Linked DNA regions of Nothobranchius furzeri. The protein of the gene in region 3 purifies or fractionates together with the protein of the main gene of each other region. This does not show direct contact. Links are inferred from orthologs where the notes say so. Each region holds a gene or a part of one and is shown on either strand. Other genes may lie near its edges. The genes, in order: rap2c, striatin and mitogen-activated protein kinase kinase kinase kinase 4.

Region 1 (4,385 bases), on a different chromosome or scaffold from region 3:
TTTAATATATAGATGTTTAACTGTCCTTTTACACTAGTTTTATTTTAGTACTTAACCCACAGTTACACAATCTCAGAAAAAAAATAATCTATCAACATATACTGCTGTGGTCTGTGTCAGTTAGAGGATACTTGGAGTTTCAGAATAAGGTGAGCAGTACACCTGGGCAGCACACTGGTTTGTGTATGCATGGTTAAAAGTCAAAACGCTTCATTAATATGAAATACTTTATCAAATTCCAAATTTCAGACATTATACAAGTAATATTAAAGAATATAGTAATGATTAAAGCAGCTTTAGAAAGGTGCTGCAACCTCACACATCAGTCCTGCTTCAAGAAAACCATCTAAAAATGGATAAAAGAATAAAACCAATAAGACAGAAATTCACAAAGGACTGTTCTTCCAAAGAAGGCGTGTGCCTGACTGCTTCCCGCTTCATCAAAAAGGCTGTTGAGGTTGCAGCAAGAGCATCGTCCAACAGTTACAATATCAAAAATAGGAGTGATGTCTTCTTCTGTCAGTCAGAAACCACTGATCCGGTAGGTTGTTGTCAGACACGAGTCAGGTAGTCCTCAGGTTCTTCTAAATGCTTGCGGTGATCCAAACTTTTTAGATTTTAAAAGAAGAAAAAAAAAATGTTAGTTAATGAAATGAGTTGAAAAGGTCAGTGGAAGCTGGTAACAAAGGCAGCATCTCTACTAGACTGAACTTCCTGTTTTGGAGGCTAAATTCTCTCTCAGGATGTGACTTTTTCCTCTTTCCGCGGATCAGCTGACAACTCTTCTGGGTCTCTTTCCTTCCAGTTCTGAGCTGCTCAGATAGCTGGGTCCTCTACGTTCTGTGATCTTATGATAACAAGCTTACAAACGGTTTGCAGCGCCACCCACTCGTCATTCTCACTTCCAGCCAAATCCCTCCATTTCTTCACGCTGCAAATGAAAACGCCACAGTACCAGTCCATGTGTCACTTCCCCCCCTCAGCCTGTGAAGCATTTTTTTACACAAGCAGCAAGGACATTTCATCACATTTTGTAAAATTAGTCAGGATTCAACTGTGCATACCTACGTCGACCTCACTGCACCACGCAGGCCGTACAGCACTGCTCCTGCTTCTCCGGCAGCGTGGAGTAGTTCATCTGTCGCACGATTTCTGCAAACAGCTCATCCACCATGGTCTTGCTCTTGGCAGAAGTTTCAATGAAGGGGCAGCCCCACTCTTGAGCCAGAGCCCGTCCGTCCGATCCGGCGACCTCTCGCTCAGATTCCAGATCCACTTTGTTGCCGACCAGGATCAACGGCACCTTCTCAAAACGCTTCACTCGTACGATCTGGTCTCGCATCGGCCTGATATCCTGAAAAACACACAAGCACAGACATGTGGGAATGCATAAAAGCTCTAAGGAACAAATTAGTAGTTCAGGCTTTACTAATATAAAGACGAATGTGTTTTCTTGCAATCTTCCACTAATTTTACAGCGAAGCTGTAGGTTAAATGGTTACCAGGACATGCAAAGTGGGGAAAAATAAGAACAAATCAAGTAAAACTAGTGTTCGTTGCTTTGACGGGTTTTTTGACATTTTAGTCTCAAAACATCGTTTTTAACCATTTTATTTGTTGTCATAAGCTGATGAAGAGTGTGAAGCTTCTTTTGAGTTATTATAAGGTCACTACAACAACTCTCACCTAAAGAAACGGGTTTAATTGGACCCTTATGACCAAATAACTCCTGTTGATCTATAAAGTTTCTCTGCACTGTGGAGGTTTCCAGCAGGGCTACCTGGAAGGACTGCTGGTTGACCAGGCTGTAGACCAGGATGAAGCCCTGCCCGTTCTTGATGTACAGGTCCCTCATGGAGGCGAACTGCTCCGTCCCCGCCGTGTCCAGTATCTCCAGCACGGAGGGCGATGAGTCTACCTCGATCTCCTTTCGGTAAAAGTCCTCGATGGTCGGGTCGTACTTCTCGATAAAAGTGCCGGTGACAAACTGGACGGTGAGCGCGGACTTCCCGACGCCACCGCTCCCCAGCACGACAACTTTGTATTCTTTCATTGGGGAGGTGGAGGCTGGCTAACTCGGCAGCTATACTCCCTCCATTAACACCGCACAGGCCTTAAAAATATCTAACAGAACAGCTGGAAACAGTTAGACGGCATGAAACAAGCTCTGCTCATTCACATAACGCCCATTTCTGACACACATCTATGTTTTCTAACTCTTGTTAAATCGCGGTGAAGCTACCTCCAGTCTGGCTAATTTCCAGCCATTCCATTCCGGAGGCTTCGAGCCTTCACATTCGATCTGAAGCACCGCAAGTCGGCTTGGACTCAACGGAGAACTCGCTGTCTGTAGGCAGACAGCGAGTCACCGTGATCCACATTCAACCTCCTCTACAGACACCATACCACCTTCCCCGCTCACACACCAGCCTGCTGGTGTCGCAGCGCTTTCTTGTGTCCGGGTCCGGGCCTGGCTCTGGTTCCGGCCCGGCCCGCGGCCTCGGTAGCCAAGCGTCCTATCAACGCAGGTTCGGTGTTGCAATCCACCAGTCCATTAGCTACAGTTCTTAAGCAGTCCTCGTGTGTGCTGGACTCTGTAGATCAGTTTTTCCAGCATAAAGGAAATCTTTTCTCCACCGACTGATTTCCGGAAGCTGACGGGCTACTTCCGCACCGTCAATGCTTTCAAAATAAAAGCTCTACAAACTGGAATTAGGCCCGAGTATGAAAATAAAAGGAGCCAGCTGTTTTCCATCCATCCATTGTCTGAACCCGCTTGCCCATGCAGGGTCGTGGGGGGACTGGTGCCTATCTCCAGTGGTCAATGGGCAACCAGGCGGGGTACACCCTGGACAGAGTCCATCGCAGGGCAACACACACACACACACACACACACACACACACACACACACACACACACACACACACACACACACCTAAGGACAATTTTTAGACAGACCAATCAACCTAACAGTCATGTGGGAGGTAGCCAGAATACCCGGAGAGAACCCACGCATGCACAGGGAGAACATGCAATCTCCATGCAGAAAGATCCCAGGCCGGGAAGTGTACCTAGGACCTTCTTACTGCAAGGCAATAGATCTAACCACTGAGCCACTGCCTGGAGACAGCTGTTTATTTATTTATTTTTGTTGAATTTGGCCAATGAATGCACCATTCTACACAAGTTAACTGTGAAAATTAGTTTTAATGTTGAGTTATAATAAGAAATCATGATTTTCAGCTTTGTTTGTAAAGTTATCTTTGTAGTGTTGCTGTTTATTTATTTCTGATGATAGTTTTTTTTTTGCCAGGAAAGATTAATCATATCCAGTGTTTTGTGGTATACTCTGATTGGGAAAATGTAATCCTTTCAAACATATCGTGTTTTTCAGCTGATTCTAATGGTTTAACAAAAAATCAAAAACAAAATAAATCTGATCTCAGACAAATCTCTGCTGTAAGGCACATAGGGAGAAAATTTGTAAAAGAATAACCAAAAAATATAAATTACAACATGTGTTGGAGATCACTCTCGCCTTTTGTTTCTTGATTTTTTAATTTGTGATCCTAAGGATTTCCTGCATTTTTTTTTTTTGCCAACGCATGAAAAACAAATCACTAACTGGTTCATCTGTGATGAAATATTTGTACAGAGTCTTTATAATATATGCAGAGTCTCAAAGGTTCAATATAGGGATGCACCGAAACTGATATTGGTATTGGGTCAATATCGATACCAGTATTGGTTTAGATATATCAGTTCCTAGCATTGGTTACCTTTTACCAATACCAATGCAGTTGCCTCAAAGTTGCTTTACTGTAACTTCTCATTTCTGTTTGCCTAATATTTTAGTTTTGTGATCATTTTTATTAATATATTTCATTTTTTATCTACCTCACAGTCTTTTCCTGTTGAAAGCAGAGACGAAAATAAAAACCTGTAATCCAATTCATAGCTTTTTTTTGTGTGGTAGATGTATCAATATCGTATTGGTTTTTAGCAAAACGTTGTATCGGTGCATCCCTAGTTCAATATGTAAGAGTTTAACTGTGAAATAATCACAAAACAGTCTAATGTCTCAATCCTGTTGGAAGTGAATTTATATTGATTTATTGTTTTCCTTCTCAGCCGGCTGGGGGGGGGGGGGGGGGGGGGTCAGTTTTTCTCCTTTAAAAATGGTCAAAGACGGATGTAGTTACTGTTTGAGATCTATGAGCCTGCAAGCTTGTCGATTCTGCATGAGCCAACACTGCAGCTCTGGAATTTGTAACTTGACACTAGCAGGCAAAAAGCTCCAGAGTTGTTCAAAAACTTAAGCCAGAGCGACCCGGAGTGACCCTTAAAAGCCACGGAATCTTTTATCTACAGTAATATTGGGTAA
Region 2 (3,648 bases), on a different chromosome or scaffold from region 3:
GGGGGGGGGCACGCAAGAGGAAAAGAGCTAGAGAGAGAGAAGAACGATGAAGAGGCTTTGCTTTTGGTTTGAGGCTTTTAGGCTGGAAAGTCAGACTCTGTAAAGAGAGGAGAGGGAGGGAGGGAGGCGGCAGTGCCTGACAGGACTTACTCTTCACCCCCTTTTTCCCCTTGCGCTCCTTTTTGTACTGCTCCTTGAGTTCGGTTATCAGGACCGGGTCCACGTCCCAGGTCTCAGAAATGGGACCTTGCTTGTCCTTTTCTAAACAAGGGGGAGAAAACCAGACCGAGAGGCTGTTGAGGAAGCGCCCCGGTCGAGAACAGATGGGCCTGGCAGAGCAGACACCTCTCAGGGGTTTTACTCCTCTGGACGTCGCGCTGCTCTCAAACCCTCCAGAGGAGTAAAAGTGTTCTTAAATACTGGGAGCGGAGCCGGCAGGTGTCTTCTCTCTCCATACGCGTCGGTGTCGAGAGACAAATTAAGTTGTTTAAATTTTAAACACCTGAACAGGTCGGGGTTTGGTCAGAGGAGACACGAGGCAGGAGACACATTGTGGACACAAACAGGATATGGGGACAAACAGACAAACTATGAGTTAAACGCTCCTGGTGTCGTGATTTATGACCACAGCATGAAAAATGAATGACGACTTCTCCATGATCGGCTCCAAAAACAAGAATACAACATCTTAAGATCATTTTATGAAGTATCTGAACTTATCGTCCAAGAGGAGCTAAATAATCTAACTGCATCCATAATAAATAAATAGTACATCAAGACATTTAGACTCACCCCAGTCTGTGCCGTCTCCAGTCCCTCTGGACTCTGACGAGGTGTCCGTCTCGTCGGGGCTGGACAGGAAGTCAAAGCCTTTCAGCGCCTCCTCGGCGTCAGGGTCCTCACTGGTGTCCATACTGGCTGGTGATGATGACGAAGGAGGTTTCTTCCTCATGATCTAAAAATGATAAGAAAAGATTTTTTTTTTGGGGGGGGGGGGGGGGGCACGATTGTGTCAGTTCAGAAGGGCGAGGGGAGACGAGTGTCTTACAGTCCTGGATTCCACATTAGTCCTCTCCTTCCCCTCACTGTCCTCCTCCTCATCTTCATCGCTGAACTCAGCCGCTGCGTTTTCAATGAATTTGAAGGCCTCCAGGACGGCGCTAGTGTCGGAGAGCTCAGCTTTCCTGAAGGGGGACGTTTACGACTGGTTAGATTAACAACGTGTCCAGGATTTATCCAGTACCCGTTTCTAATGGACCAAGGTTCATCTGAAAGGCCTGAAATGTTCCTGGAATATTTCTGCTGGCGATGAAACGATACAAATATAACTCAGGATCATTTTTTGTCAATAGATACACAAGAACAGGTCGATGCAGTTTGTAGAACAGATGAGTAGCAAGTGGTAGTAAGAGCTGCTCTGCGTTGGACCAATCATGTGGCTGGAATGGAGCCGTGCAGCTCGGTAGCAGCTGGACGCGCTAACAGCTAATGTTTGAGCAGGGCAGGACTTTTGTCAAAAAAGGAAAAATTTGTGTCCAGAAATAAAATAAAAAAAAGACAGAAGACACAGCGGATGACATCAGTTGTGTGGACGCGTTTAAGCTTTTTAAACATGAAAATATGCCTTTCAAATTATGCTCATTGCATATTTGGAGAGCGAAGCCTCTTATCGCCCCTGTTTTTATGTTCAAATACAGTGATCGTTCGCTACTTCGCGGTTCGTTTATCGCGGATTCACGACTTCGCGGATTTTTTCTTTGGAGCCTTATTCAAGGGAAATTCGCCGATTCGCGGTATTTTCTATGCGAAATATCAAGAAATTCCTGTTTTTTTTTTCATCAAAAAATGCACTTTTTGTAATAAAACTATAAAAAACCAAGTAAAAAAAATTTCTATGTAAAGGGAGGGTTTTAAAAGTCTGAATACTGAATACGTACCTGTTAAATAAATACTGTAAATATGGTGTCCCTACTTCGCGGATTTTTTCTTTGGAGCCTTATTCAAGGGAAATTCGCCGATTCGCGGTATTTTCTATGCGAAATATCAAGAAATTCCTGTTTTTTTTCATCAAAAAATGCACTTTTTGTAATAAAACTATAAAAAACCAAGTTAAAAAATTTTCTATGTAAAGGGAGGGTTTTAAAAGTCTGAATACTGAATACGTACCTGTTAAATAAATACTGTAAATATGGTGTCCCTACTTCGCGGATTTTCACCTATCGCGGCCAGGTCTGGAACGCATCTACCGCGATAAACGAGGGATCACTGTACTTCAACAAAGGTTTTCTACCTCTACTAGAAACATGAATCTGGTAATGACGGACTTTGCTCTAATGCTAACAACCGGAACCTAAAGCATTATCTAGCATCCCTAAAGAAATAACTCTCACAAAGAAACCATCATTTCAGCTTCAACACACTTTTAAGCTGAGGACACCTACCCTGGTGTGCCGATGCCCTTAGTCGTTGAGTCTGTTCCGTTGACCGAAGGCTCCGTGTTCATCCGTTCACCCGTTTTCCCGCCTCCGTCTCCGGCAAGTCCCAGCAGAGCTCGGACCCGCTGGGACTTCACATCCAGGATGGTGTCTGTGTAGCCGACCTCCTGCAGGTACCTGCAACGGGGTGAACTAGATTACCAGCAGGCAGTGAAGTGGTGGTCGCACGCTTGGTTACACCTGCAACTCGTGTTGTTTCTGACCAAGACCCAGTGGATGACTTTTAGACAGCAGCCGTTAGATATACACCTACAACTGAACATGGTGATAATTTTATGGATACTAAGCTAGGTGTGCTAGTAGCTGAGAGACATTTACAACACGAACTCTGAGTGCTAACCGACGGTACAAGGTCAGCACCGTGTGACATCATTTAAAAACACGATTAGACCAACAAAGATCCACAGCTTTCCTGTTGAGGTATGTGGGTACACGGCTTCGGGTAGCGCCACAGAGCCATCAAGGTAAACCAGCCAATCAGCATGCAGCTCCTTTCTGCCACCATCCCGAGCCGTCTTTAACATAGTGTGTTAGGGTATGATGTGATTGTGCTTGGCGATGACGTCACTTTATTTAAACAGACAGACTGGAGAGCAGGACCACAGAAATGACTCCGACTCCGTGGTAACAGCAGCAGCCGTCCATGTGAGGGTGCTGCTCACCACAGCTTTTACCCTTTCTGCTCACAGAACCACTGGCCTCACAGTCCGTTTCACAAACTCTACAAGAAGCGAGGACGTTAGCCTGCCAACACGCTGGTATTTCTATTTAACAGATTCAGGAGGTTGTCCGGAGTAAAGCGTCAGCTTTAAATAAAAGAGCTCACTGTCTGAGGAGCTGCCGGCCTTGTTTCCAGGACAGCTGATTGTTGAGTGATCCAGAAGTCTCGTTTTCGTTGGCCTCATCTGAAGGAGAAGAGGAGGACACAAATCAGCACACCCACCCAACACTAAGTAAACAAGGACATTCCTGCATCACCATGGCCTGGAAACTAAACACAGTCTTAACACCTGAGTGGAGTCGAACGACAGTTACAGTCAGGCAGTCGCTCTAAAGCTTTAATCGTTGAAGTTAAACCTGGAATCACTACTGCTTTCTGTGGAAGAGCCTTCCTATGTTAAAACGAGACGTGTCATTCCTGAGCTTGTCTTCT
Region 3 (3,648 bases):
GCAGTGTAAAACATCTAGAAACTTTCAAAATAAAAGACGTGCAGATTTTTTTATTGCTTAACAAATGAACTAATACGTTGTTACCTCTGAAGAAAATAAACCACAGACCTTTGTGGATACATGCTTCAGTCTTTCTTCTTGTTTGTCATCACAAATTTCTGCCATGATTTTGCTGTGTGGAACAAATTCACGGCTGCTGTGCGTCTGAAATGCTCCTGATTGGCAGCGCCGCCGAGGTCTTGGTGAAAACCGGATTATAAGCCTGTGATAGTTTAGGTTTCCCCTGGCTCACACAGATCTTTAGACACCAGCGTAGGTGACTGTCAACTAATGACGCAGGAATTAAAGACATAAACATAAGTTTGCTCTTTTTTGTCTAAAATTAACGTTTTGTGAGATAACTAAAGCCGGGCGGACACTGTGCGACCTTTTCACCTTTTTGAGCCGATTTTCCACTCGTGCGAGAATCCACGAGATCGGGGCGAGTTTTGCGCCGAGCGTCGTGTAGTGTACAGGGGGTTACGAGAGGCGATTAACACCACGTGACCAGCTACCGTGAGCTCACACGGACTTCTGGCGTGTTTGATATTTTGCTCATCCCTCGTGAGGGTATCGCACTGTTGAAGCGGTGCTGCGAGCGGCTGCGACCCCAAAAAGTATCAGAACCGCTCACGGCGCATGCGCAATCCTGCATCAACACCGCTCGCCCACTATTTCCCTAATAACACACGCTGTTCGTTTTTATTTCTACACGTTTTTTTACTCACAAAGATTGTCAAGAAAGCGTGTTTGTCGTGTTCGTGTCAAATTAAACTGATCAGAAAACACAGATTTACTTTTCCTCATCCAACCCCATAAATCCCTGTGTGTCCTCCTGCAGCACTCCCGAAGGACAACAGGCAAGACAAAAAAGACTGACGTGTTGTGTAAAAACTGCTATTTTTAGCATATTTTTAGGGCCGACGTGTTGCTACCAGACGTACAGTGTGAGCACATGACTCGTGAGATCTGCCCTGCGAGGAAGTCGTACAGTTTGAGCTGAAGCTGAGTGCTACGAGTGAAAAAGTCGCACAGTGTCCGCCCAGCTTAAGTCAGTCTGCTACTAGTTAAACGAGAATTAATCTGATTATTATAGTTGAAATCTCAACAGGAGTTCTAGATTAAGGCCAAAATACCAGATTACCAAACACTCTTATTATGAAGGACTTTTATTGTGAAGGACTGAAGGAAGTCCTCTGATGCAGAAGAGTTAAAAGATCAGTTCTTATTCAACCAAATGCCATTTTTTTATAGTTTAGTCCCTTTCTTGACATTTGGACTTTAATCTCAAAGACTCCTCCTTATCTCAGTGTCCTCGTGACCCGAATACGCCGTCGTTCCGAGCTCCCATCAGGAGTTATCCCCATTCAGGGTTTCTGGCTAAAGTATTCCGAGGCATCAGTTGTGCCGACTCACACAGGAGGGATTTGGGATTTAGAAACAGGAGGTAAACTTTATTTCTGCCTTCTAAAGTAAGACTCTGTGGTGATTCATCAGGAAACACAAAAACAGACCTGGAGGGAGCCACGTCAGCACACACCAGATGGAGGAAGAGGAGGAAAAGGTGAGGAATGAGGAGTTACCTGGGGTTCCATAGGTCGATGCATGGCGGAAGACTCGGACGAGGAGCCCCCGTTGGAAAATGGTTCGGAGGAGCGGGGAGGCAGGGGGGGCTGCTTTGTAGGAGGTGCGATCTGAGGGGAGCCCTGGATGTTTTTACGGAAGCGTTCATCAGCCTGGGATTGAAGAACGGGAAAGACGGGATGAGAAATGACAACTCTGGATCTAAAAGCACTGATCAAGCAGAAGGGAACTACAACAGAAACTAGAGAAAAGTCCCATTTGTGTTTATTTGGATCCGAGTGAACGGTTTTCCTTCTGAAACAACAGTAGTTCCCGTCTCCTTTAGCCTGTATTACAGCTCCTTTAACTTATTTCTGGAAAAGACGACCGGTGAGAAAGACGTAAACATGCTTTAGGCCGGTTTTAGGCAGCCGTAAAGACACAAAAAGACATGAAGACAAACAAAAACAAATCGTCCTCACATTTAGAGTCAAAGGGAAGAGTTAAGGACACAGGAGAGACATTTTGCTGGTGGGACACATTGCTCTGGGTGCTCTGTGTTAGTTTAGGCCACATGCGATGGCCCAGTCATCACACATTAACCTGATCCTCCACTTCCGACGACAGTCCTGATCTGTCTGCTAACACCTGAGGTGTTGGGTGTGAGGGTCTGCTCTATCGTGTGTGAAGGCAAGCAAGAGGAAGCTGAAAAGAGCAGGCAGCAGGGCAGACAGAGCCGAGGAGGACGTTCACCTCTCCGATAGGCTGAGCAGGGGGACTGACAGGCTCCAAACTTTCTGCCTGGGGGGGTTTAGCGTCAGTAGGGGGTTCGTTCATAGGGGGGTGCGGGGTGGAGGAGGGGGAGCTCTGGCTGGGGCTGGTCTCATCAGCCTCCTCCTGGGATTCACCGCTGTCAGCAGGGACAGTCCGGGAGGCTCCGGAGGACTCAGAACTAGCAGAGTGGATGACCTGAGCTTGTGGGGAGGAGGCGGGGGGCAGAGTGGAGGTCTGTGGAGGTTTGCTTTGGTCTGAGGGGACTGTGGTCTGGTCGCCAGGCAGCTGTTTGGACTCATGCTGCAGAGACAGCAGGTAGGCCTGCTCCTGCTGCAGCCGCTTATGGAGGCGCTCAGCTTTGCGCTGCTCCTCCAGCTCCCGCCACTTGAACTCCTGTTACCATGACAACAAGCTGCTAATGAAGCTGCACACAAAGTCTGAACCATAGTTTAAACACACTTATACTTCTGCACTAAACCTCTACGCTCATTCTGAAAACATATTTCCTTTGTTGGCTGGAATTTCACTTTTGCCGAGTCATTATTGACACATTTATTTGTTTTAAAGGTGCATTATGTAGAAAGAAGTAAAAATGGCATCCTGTGACAAAATTTGTTTACTGCAACCACTTTAAAAAACACTGCAGCTTTTTGCTGTCCGTCGTCAAATTGCAATTGTCGGCGCTGCAGTATTAGCTCACGAGACGCGGCACCCCCACTCTCACCGCTGCTAAACAGCAGTTACGGCCCCCTTCCTTTGTTTTGAAAGGAGAAAAACTGACGATCCCAGCTGGATATGAAATATGTTCCTTCCAAAATGACTGAAACATTAGACTCTTGGGATTTTCTCACTGTAAATTTCTCACTCTGTTCTTACATACTGCACCTTTAATCATCACAATGAAAACAAAACAAATGAGCACGATGTAACATTTAAGTTCCTGACTGATTCTTAAATTTGTCTGTAGAGCTTATTTAGTCTCTTTTACTTACCTCAAAACTTATTTGTTTATTAAAGGCTGAATTACAAATCATGCCTTTTTTTGTTTGTATCAAAAAGTTTAGAACAGAAAATAAAATAAAACTTTATTGTCCACCGTGGTGGAAATTTTCCTTCGGCTCTCAAGAACTAAAAACATTCATGACACCATGTGCTCTGATTGGGTCTCATCGTTCACGTTGGTTAGGGATCAGTACAGCTCTTGGTACGAATGATTTTTTTATATATGTTTTTGGTTGCAAGAGGCACGCTAAAACGCCTTCCCGAACTCAA

The links.
Region 1: the proteins of mitogen-activated protein kinase kinase kinase kinase 4 (region 3) and rap2c purify together in Homo sapiens (affinity purification with mass spectrometry; 3 studies listed by BioGRID and IntAct, counting the BioPlex papers as one, with this or other methods). This does not show direct contact. The link is inferred for Nothobranchius furzeri from reciprocal best matches to the Homo sapiens genes MAP4K4 and RAP2C.
Region 2: the proteins of mitogen-activated protein kinase kinase kinase kinase 4 (region 3) and striatin purify together in Homo sapiens (affinity purification with mass spectrometry; 4 studies listed by BioGRID and IntAct, with this or other methods). This does not show direct contact. The link is inferred for Nothobranchius furzeri from reciprocal best matches to the Homo sapiens genes MAP4K4 and STRN.

The regions. Positions count from the first base shown.
Region 1 is NC_091741.1:84,823,904-84,828,288, forward strand, and holds the start of rap2c (ras-related protein Rap-2c), read right to left. Parts: upstream 2,878-4,385; 5' UTR 2,054-2,877; coding exon 1,781-2,053; intron 1,355-1,780; coding exon 1,076-1,354; 3' UTR 1,069-1,075; exon of another isoform or gene 1,056-1,068; intron 985-1,055; exon of another isoform or gene 618-984; intron 608-617; 3' UTR 1-607. UniProt on the Homo sapiens protein: Small GTP-binding protein which cycles between a GDP-bound inactive and a GTP-bound active form. May play a role in cytoskeletal rearrangements and regulate cell spreading through activation of the effector TNIK.
Region 2 is NC_091752.1:1,683,347-1,686,994, forward strand, and holds part of striatin, read right to left. Parts: intron 3,401-3,648; coding exon 3,322-3,400; intron 2,613-3,321; coding exon 2,442-2,612; intron 1,185-2,441; coding exon 1,049-1,184; intron 956-1,048; coding exon 793-955; intron 262-792; coding exon 151-261; intron 1-150. UniProt on the Homo sapiens protein: Calmodulin-binding scaffolding protein which is the center of the striatin-interacting phosphatase and kinase (STRIPAK) complexes.
Region 3 is NC_091754.1:49,140,149-49,143,796, forward strand, and holds part of mitogen-activated protein kinase kinase kinase kinase 4, read right to left. Parts: intron 2,770-3,648; coding exon 2,356-2,769; intron 1,776-2,355; coding exon 1,623-1,775; intron 1-1,622.